Xenopus tropicalis: one gene and its partner. Each later gene encodes a partner of the first gene's protein in a complex. Links are inferred from orthologs where the notes say so. Each region holds a gene or a part of one and is shown on either strand. Other genes may lie near its edges.

Region 1 (3,819 bases):
GTTACTTTTTATTCCTTATCTTTCTATTCAGCCCCTCCCCTATTCATATATCAGCCTCTCATTCAAATCACTCCCTGGTTGCTAAGGTAATTTGAGCCCTAGCAACAGTATATCTGACCCCGGCAGCCAAACCCTATTGCTCTGTGAGGCTCCAGTTTTATTGTTATTGTTACTTTTTATTCCTTATCTTTCTATTCAGCCCCTCCCCTATTCATATACCAGCCTCTCATTCCAACAGCTCCCTGGTTGCTAAGGTAATTTGAGCCCTAGCAACAGTATATCTGACCCCGGCAGCCAAACCTTATTGCTCTGTGAGGCTCCAGTTTTATTGTTATTGTTACTTTTTATTCCTTATCTTTCTATTCAGCCCCTCCCCTATTCCTATATCAGTCTCTCATTCCAACCACTCCCTGGTTGCTAAGGTAATTGGGACCCTAGCAACCATATAGCTGCTGAAACTCCAAAATGAAGACCAATTGCAAACTGTCTTGGAATATCTTGCTTGGTAAGATGTATAATAAATCTAAGGCTCTCATTTCCCAGCATATGGCCCCGCCCCCTTGTTACCTTCACAATGTCGTTAATTAGCGAATATCTGAACATCCAGTCCAGCGTGATGCTCTCGTTCTCCAGAATGTCCTGCAGAAACACACAGGGGCATCAGCGAGGGGCATGAAAGGGTTAACTCTAACTCTAGCAATACAAATCATGGGGGGTGGTACCTGCAAACTGCCCCGGGGGCAATACTCTGTCAGGATGCAGATGTTTGGGGGGTCGATGCAGGAACCGACAAATCGCGTGAGGTGTTCATTCTGCACATCTCTCATCTAGAAGGGAAGACAAACGGTTAAACCCAAGGGGCCCCGGCAACATTTAATAATTCATCAGCCAGCGGGGAAGGGGGGGGGGGAATCACCGGATCAATTGGGCAAAGGTTAAACGGTTCCCAAGTCGCCTGGGGGAGAAGGGAAGGATAGACTGGGGGGGGAATGATAGCCAGCCCAGTAGGGAAGCATAGGGTACTGCAGGGAAAGGGTTAAATGGCTCCATGCCCAGTGGGGAAAGGGTGGGCAGGCAAGGGTTACACAGCTTCTTCCTAACCATATAAGAAAGGGAAGGCAAGGGTTAAATGGTTCCATACCCTGTTAGAAAGGGATGTGGGAAGGCAGGAAAGTCCTATACCCAATGTAGCAAGGGTTAAATGGTTCCCTACCCAGTGGGAAAGGATAAGAGTGGGCAGGCAAGGGTTACACTTCCTAACCATATAAGAAAGAATGGGAGAGGGAAGGCAAGGGTTAAATGGTTCCCTACCCAGCGGGAAAGGATAAGAGTGGGCAGGCAAGGGTTACACTTCCTAACCATATAAGAAAGAATGGGAGAGGGAAGGCAAGGGTTAAATGGTTCCCTACCCAGCGGGAAAGGATAAGAGTGGGCAGGCAAGGGTTACACTTCCTAACCATATAAGAAAGAATGGGAGAGGGAAGGCAAGGGTTAAATGGTTCCCTACCCAGCGGGAAAGGATAAGAGTGGGCAGGCAAGGGTTACACTTCCTAACCATATAAGAAAGAATGGGAGAGGGAAGGCAAGGGTTAAATGGTTCCCTACCCAGTGGGAAAGGATAAGAGTGGGCAGGCAAGGGTTACACTTCCTAACCATATCAGAAAGAATGGGAGAGGGAAGGCAAGGGTTAAATGGTTCCCTACCCAGTGGGAAAGGATAAGAGTGGGCAGGCAAGGGTTACACTTCCTAACCATATCAGAAAGAATGGGAGAAGGGGAAGGCAAGGGTTAAATGGTTCCATACCCTGTTAGAAAAGAATTTTGGAGGGTAGGCAATGGTTAAATTATCCCATTCCCTAAGTGGAAATTATGTGAGTGGATGGGAATGGTTAAATGGCTCTATAGCCAGTGGAATAAGGATATGAGAGGGCAGGTAAGTGTTAAACAGTTCCAAACCCACCAGGGAAAGGATAAGACCGTGGTTAAATGGTTCCATGTCTAAATGGGAAAGTTCCACACCCAGCGGAGAAGGAATGCAAGGGTTAAATGTTTTATCACCAATGGAGAAAGATGAGAATGGGTAGGCAAGAAATAAATGGTTAAATCCCAGTGAGGAAAGGATCAGAGAGGGGCGGTAATGGATAATAGTCCCAAACCCAGTAACAAAGAGTTAAAATGGTCAGCATAGGGTAAATGGGTAATAGGGGAAAATGACAGCGAGCAGGCAAGTGTTAAATTATCCTACCCAGTATGGAAAGGGTCGGCAAGGGTTAAATAGTTCCGTATCCAGGAAAAGTATGAGAATGGCTAGGGAAGGGTTACACAGTTCCTTATGCAATAAATAAAGAATGAGAGAGTAGGCAAGGGTTAAGTGCTTCCATACCCAGTGAGAAGGCAAGGGTTAAACGGTACCAATCCAAGTAGATAGGGAATGAGTATGGGCAGGCAAGAATAAGGGTGAGAAGGCAAAGGGTTAATGGTGAAAAGGTGAGAGAGGGTAGGCAAGGGTTAAATGGTTTCATACGCCATGGGCAGGCAAGGGTTACACTGATCTTATAACAAACCGGAATAACCAGGAGGAGAGAGAGGCCCCCGACAAGTTAGTTTACCTTGAAATTAACTCTTTGCTGGCTCTACCCTATTAAATGCAGTTATGGAGGCCCCACTTGGTTAACTGCCCCAGTGCCCCACATGGTGCAGAAAGGGTCAACTCTTCGGCTGCATTATCTACCCCCCTCTCTACCCTTCAGATGGGATTCCTGCGCACAATTACAGCAGGGGGTTACTCGCTCTTATGTGCCTGCTGGGATCTCCAGTACGCGACCGGCCAAGAAGGGGGCACAATTTGGCCAAAGAACCAGGCTGGTCCGATTGTTTGGCCACTGGCCACATCATGTTAATAAGGGAGGAGGGGCTGCACCGTGGGCACCAAAGAGAAAAGACAGCTGGGGGGCCCCACACGCCGGGCATACCCCGTGGGCTGAATGTCCCCTTACTAAGGCCCCGTCCAATCAGGGAGGGAGCGAGAGAGTCGGGGTGAGGTGGCAGCGATGCTCCCTCTGGGGCATCTGGACACTGCAAACATTAGTGAAATGCCAGGGCCGGTTCTGAATAATATTGGGCCAGAGCAAATAACATCTGCTGTGAGAGGGAAGGGAGGGAGAGACAGTCACAGGGAGAGACAGATGGAGAGAAAGGAGAGCGAGAGAGGAACATGCTCCTCAGCTAGACCAACGTTCCTCAGGCTGCTGCTGTGGGACCTCCAAGCCCATCAACCCCCTAAAACTACTTTGCGTTGGGAATCCAGGGGGCGAACCCCCAAAACAGAAAGATCTGGAAGCAAAAGCGAGGACAAGACTGCCCAGGAAATCCCTATTGGCTGCTCTTCCCCTACAGCAGGACTCAGCTGGACTCTCAGGAATGAGCTCCCTGTGGAGAAGCTCAAACACGTGCCAGTGTGTCCGACTGACCGCCCCACCGGGGTTAAGTGGAGGGGAGCCCAGACTTTAGTTGTTTATGGGATTTTCTGAATCGTCAGCAGCTTTTCCCTGGGTCGGGAGCCAAGGAAGTGTCTTCAGCGAGACAGGTCCCAGATGGTCAGCACTGGGCAGAGGAAGGGAGGGTTACATCACTGCTCTGGTCAGGTCAGAAGAAAAGCGTAAGGGTCCGGGATCATTTAGTGGTCAGTTAGGAGGAGCTCAGCTGTTCCTTACGTGTTTCAGCTCGAACAGGACCTTGCGAGTCAGCTCGATCCGCTTGCGGTTTATGTGCTTGACGGCAATGATGTTGCCCTGCAGGGGGGAGACAATGGGTAGAGTGA
Region 2 (4,400 bases), on another chromosome or scaffold:
CAAAGTTGCCTCGCGAGGCTTTTTCGGCGATTTGCCGAAATCGCGCCGCCGCATGTGCCATCCCACCGGCAACTTACACTTTCGCCAGTGGGATGGCAGGTGATGGCAACTTGGGGAGATTAGTCGCCCGCGAACAGGGAGATTTGTCACGGGCGACTAATCTCCCCGTGTGCCAGAGCCCTAAAGAAAGGGACGGTAAGGTCAGTGAGTAGCCCAACTTTCAAATTAGTCCTCTATAATGGCAAATAAAAGGAAAACTTTGATTTTTTTTTTTTAATTAAAACAAAAGGCAGAATGTTATTTCAACACAATTCCCTTATAATTTTTAGCAAATGTGTTTTTAGGTGGATACTACAAGAATGGGTTTGCTGCTCACCCTATGGCTGTTGCAACCCATGCCACTCTGGGCTCCAATTCTGTCAATGCGTCCTCCAAAGCAGTCTGAGGACCTTCTTAAACTTTTTGGTGAATTTAAAAGCTCTCTTAACTTGCTTTTTAGTCGGGATAGTTTATCAGGTGTTTCCCAGGAAGACCCTCTGTTGAATACTGTATCAGATTGGGGTCTCACAGCCTCTCCGGTCCAGGAAGGAGCAGAGTTAGAAGCATCGGCAACATCAAAATTCTGAGCAAATAAATCTTGGGATGGGGCCACTGGTTCTTCTGCAGGCGCTTCCAAGCGCTCCAAAATGTTCTACAGGAAAAAGATCTTAATGAGCTAAATAAAATGTAGTCAATTGCAGTGAAGAAATTAATTTCTAGTGAACTCTTCCAAATATATATTATGAATGTGTGTAAATTATTGTCATGTAAACAACAGTTTCTCATGTCTGAGGGTAATGTTTAAAAAAAATATCCAAATAATTAGGCAAACTCACATTAAGGGGCAGATTTATCAAAATGTGAGTTTAGAGCTCAATACATAAAATCTCACCCACGTTGTATTCATTCCTATGGGTTTTTTAGAGGTGTATTTATCAAATGGTGAGTTCTAACTCTGACCCCTTGATAAATACGCTTCTAAAAACCCCACAAGAATGAATACAATGTGAGTTTTATGTATTGAGCTCTAAACTCACATTTTGATAAATATGCCCCTAAATGTTACTGGTTGTTCTGGACTGGTGATAAAGAAAGGCTACAACCAGAAACAACTAAACTTTAAAATCATGAGATAAGCTTATCTGCTCTAATATTTTCAGCCAGTAGATGTGGGCCAGATGCTTAAGAGTTATTCTGGTACTTATATAATGTATTAAATACATGTGTAAAGATCAGGGAGGTCCAACTTCAGAATTTTTTTTTTTTAGGTGTGCCTGTGTGAAACTATGTGTATATCAACTTCCCAATAAATGCCCATGTTCACTTGATAAGCTGTACGGCATTTCCAGTGACTTTTTGGATGAAGCAAGAGCTAGACTATAGGATATGAGGAGAGCTGTCTGAATTATTGTTGTTGTTAAAAGCAGAGTTCTCTGACCACTCTTGTGATTTACATTTTTTTTTATTAATGGTCTCTGATTATGCACCACCTTCATAGTAGGGAATCCAATATTTTAGGATCCGGCCAAACCACTAATCCTTTATGAAAGATTCGGGCAAATACTGAACTAAATCCGAATCCTAATTTTCACATGCAAATTAGGATAGGGGAAGGTTAAAGACAATTGTATGCAAAGCAGGCAGTGGCAAATTTTCAACTTCCGTATTTATATGACAAAAAGTCATGTGATTTTTCGGATTCGGTTCAGCAAGAACCATGGATTTGGTGAAATCTGAATCCTGTTGAAAAAGGCTGAATCTTGGCCATATCCCAAAACAAATCTTGGATTCAGTGCATCCCTACTTCATAGTCAGTTAAACCTAGAGAGATGCTGAGTCTAAAACTATAACTCAAAAACTACTAAAAACAAAAAATGTAAGTGAATAGCAAGTGCTCAGAGGAGCAATGTAAGTTGACTTTTTTTGTATTTTGGTTTAGATCTACTTTAATTATAAGAACTTAATAATATATGTGGTGTGTGCCAGCAAAAGATAAACTATAGATTATAATGAATAATGTAACCCCAACTGTAACTGATTTATAGATTTACAAATGATTGTATGAGTAGCATCTAAAACTTGCAAATAAATTATGGGCCCAATATGTTTTACTACAAGCATATTTCTGAATGTTATCATTTTAGGCATTATACATTTTTTTGTGTTGTACATTTATAGATAGTTTTAATTAGCTTATTTAATAGGCAAACTTGCTAAAATCACATGTTGTATTAGGTGGGATACAAGAGCTTCCCTGCTAATTATACATAAAGGAGGTTATACACCAGGGAAAGATCATATGTAGGAAAAAATGAAATTAATTGATGGAATTCAATGTGCACTAAAGATATTTAACTCTGATTTGTTAGTGTAAATAACTACAACAACAGACACTTATATTGGGAAGGCATCCGAGAAACTTCAAAAGGGATCATGTTAATAATAGCTAGTTGCTGTAAATATGTAACTGCCCTTTAATGGATAAACTTAAAAAAGTGTGTAAAATAATAGAATACAGAGCATGCAGTATTTTTTTGCTGGATTCCTACACTTTCTCTTTAATCTTCACTGTTTAGAATTACATTATATTTTCATTCCTTCTTTTGAGTAAAGTTCTTTAGAACCACATCAATGCTACAGAGTCTCTCACCTTTAAGTCTGTTAGATCAGAAGACAAGATAGAGCTGTATGCAGGACTGCCCCTGGCCTTCATCAGAGCAAGAAGAAAGAAGATGAAAGTAAAGTATCCAACGAATGAAGTCCCCATGACTCCTGAGACTTTCTGATATTGACCAAAAACCTAATTTCCACTATAGAAATGTCTGTGTGTCTCCTTGTTTGTTCTGATATACACAACACTGACTCATTTTATATGCGTAGCAGTGACACAGAGTTGCAGAGGAATGAACCCCGCCACATTCTAGCACTTCCGTATGATAAAGAAGCTGGTTGCAGGCCAACAGAAGATTCCCTTTTAAAGTTATTCTTCCCTCTGCATTTCCACAGAATTTCCAGGAGGTGCCTTATCCACTTGACTGAACTGACCTGATGGAAGACTCACATTCTTTGTTAAAGAGGCTTCTCACATGCAGTGTCTGGGTGAAAAGGATAAACTGACCCATCTATCTTTACATCTGCATTCCTTATTAGTGATTCATAGAAAATAAGAAAATTCAAACTTCTAACCAATGTGGTATGGATGGAGTTTAGCTAGTGAAACACACAGGGCAGTGTGGGAGCACTCCAAGACTAATAAAATATAATGTAAGTACAACAGACCTGGCCAGATTAGCTTCAAATAATGCAAAAGCTATAAAAAATGAAGAGCGACTAAAGGTTGCTAATTCTATAACATAGTAAAAGTTAATTTGAAGGTTAACTACCCTTTAAAAGCATTGTTTTAGATCTTAACTTATTGCTGTGCTCATTGAAATAAATACATTTATTCCATGTTTAAAAAGTTTAAATAATAGATTACAAACTCTGAAAAAGCTAAAAACATGTCATAAAATCTACATTGCTAGCCTTTCCTCTCCATTTTTCATTAGTAAACCCTTTCCCTTTTTATAGTAAATTTGTCCCAGTTTAAATATTAAAATGTTAGGCACCCCCAAGTGACTTAAATCGCTTAGCTTTTACCCCGGGCTGGTGCCCCTGTACAGAGAGAACAGCACCAGCCCGGGGTAGCAGCGTTCGCTTCCTTCTTCCTTGTTCGCTGCGCGCGCATGCGCAGTAGAGTGAGTAGCCGAACTTTGAACAGAGAAGTCAGCGTTTCACTCTACTGCGCATGTGCCTGTCCCGGACAATAAGCAGCAGCGCGAATAGGGAAGAAGGAAGCACTCGCTACAGTTACCCCGGGCTGGTGCTGTTTTCTCCTAACAGGGGCACCAGCCCGGGGTACAAGGTAAGCAATTTAAGTCACTTGGGGGTGCCTAACATTTTGGCACCCCAAAGTGACTTAGACTTTCCTTGTCCTTTAAGCATTAACATTTAAAATATAAAGCTTATTTAATCATTTATTCCCCTCCATTTTTTCTCTCTGGTGGCAAATATGGAGTATGAGTATATTTTGAATATGTAGCTAGATATTGTTGTATTTTGTGTGACAATGCCAATGCATTAATTTGTGGCACTAGAGAATATGACCAGTTTTGGAAAGAAGTGACACTATTTCTGACATCTGGGCTTCTGTTTTTTCCCTCGTCACTAACTAGTCAAGCCAGTACTTACCTGGGTTTCCTTACATACTCTAGGTCACCACTCATTTTTAAATAGCACTGAAAAACTCTTTGAGACAGCAAATATCCTCTCTAAAATTTACTAATATTAACATTAAGAATTTCAATTCACCCAGAAACATA

The links.
Region 2: the proteins of npr1 (region 1) and nppa are in contact, whole or in part, in a crystal structure (PDB 7BRG), measured with the Rattus norvegicus proteins. The link is inferred for Xenopus tropicalis from reciprocal best matches to the Homo sapiens genes NPR1 and NPPA. Residues at the interface, in NP_036745.1 of Rattus norvegicus: Asp90, Val115, Tyr116, Ala119, Pro120, Arg123, Ala139, Leu140, Gly141, Ile142, Val144, Tyr148, Tyr182, Asp184, Leu186, Gly187, Asp188, Asp189, Arg190, Phe193, Phe194, Val196, Glu197, Tyr200, Met201, Arg204, His213, Gln214, Glu215, Phe216; in NP_036744.1 of Rattus norvegicus: Arg126, Ser127, Ser128, Cys129, Phe130, Gly131, Gly132, Arg133, Ile134, Asp135, Arg136, Ile137, Gly138, Ala139, Gln140, Ser141, Gly142, Leu143, Gly144, Cys145, Asn146, Ser147, Phe148, Arg149, Tyr150.

The regions. Positions count from the first base shown.
Region 1 is NC_030684.2:144,232,567-144,236,385, reverse strand, and holds part of npr1 (atrial natriuretic peptide receptor 1), read right to left. Parts: intron 3,791-3,819; coding exon 3,713-3,790; intron 828-3,712; coding exon 723-827; intron 640-722; coding exon 568-639; intron 1-567. UniProt on the Homo sapiens protein: Receptor for the atrial natriuretic peptide NPPA/ANP and the brain natriuretic peptide NPPB/BNP which are potent vasoactive hormones playing a key role in cardiovascular homeostasis.
Region 2 is NC_030683.2:65,813,811-65,818,210, forward strand, and holds the start of nppa (natriuretic peptides A), read right to left. Parts: upstream 2,915-4,400; 5' UTR 2,807-2,914; coding exon 2,690-2,806; intron 692-2,689; coding exon 377-691; intron 1-376.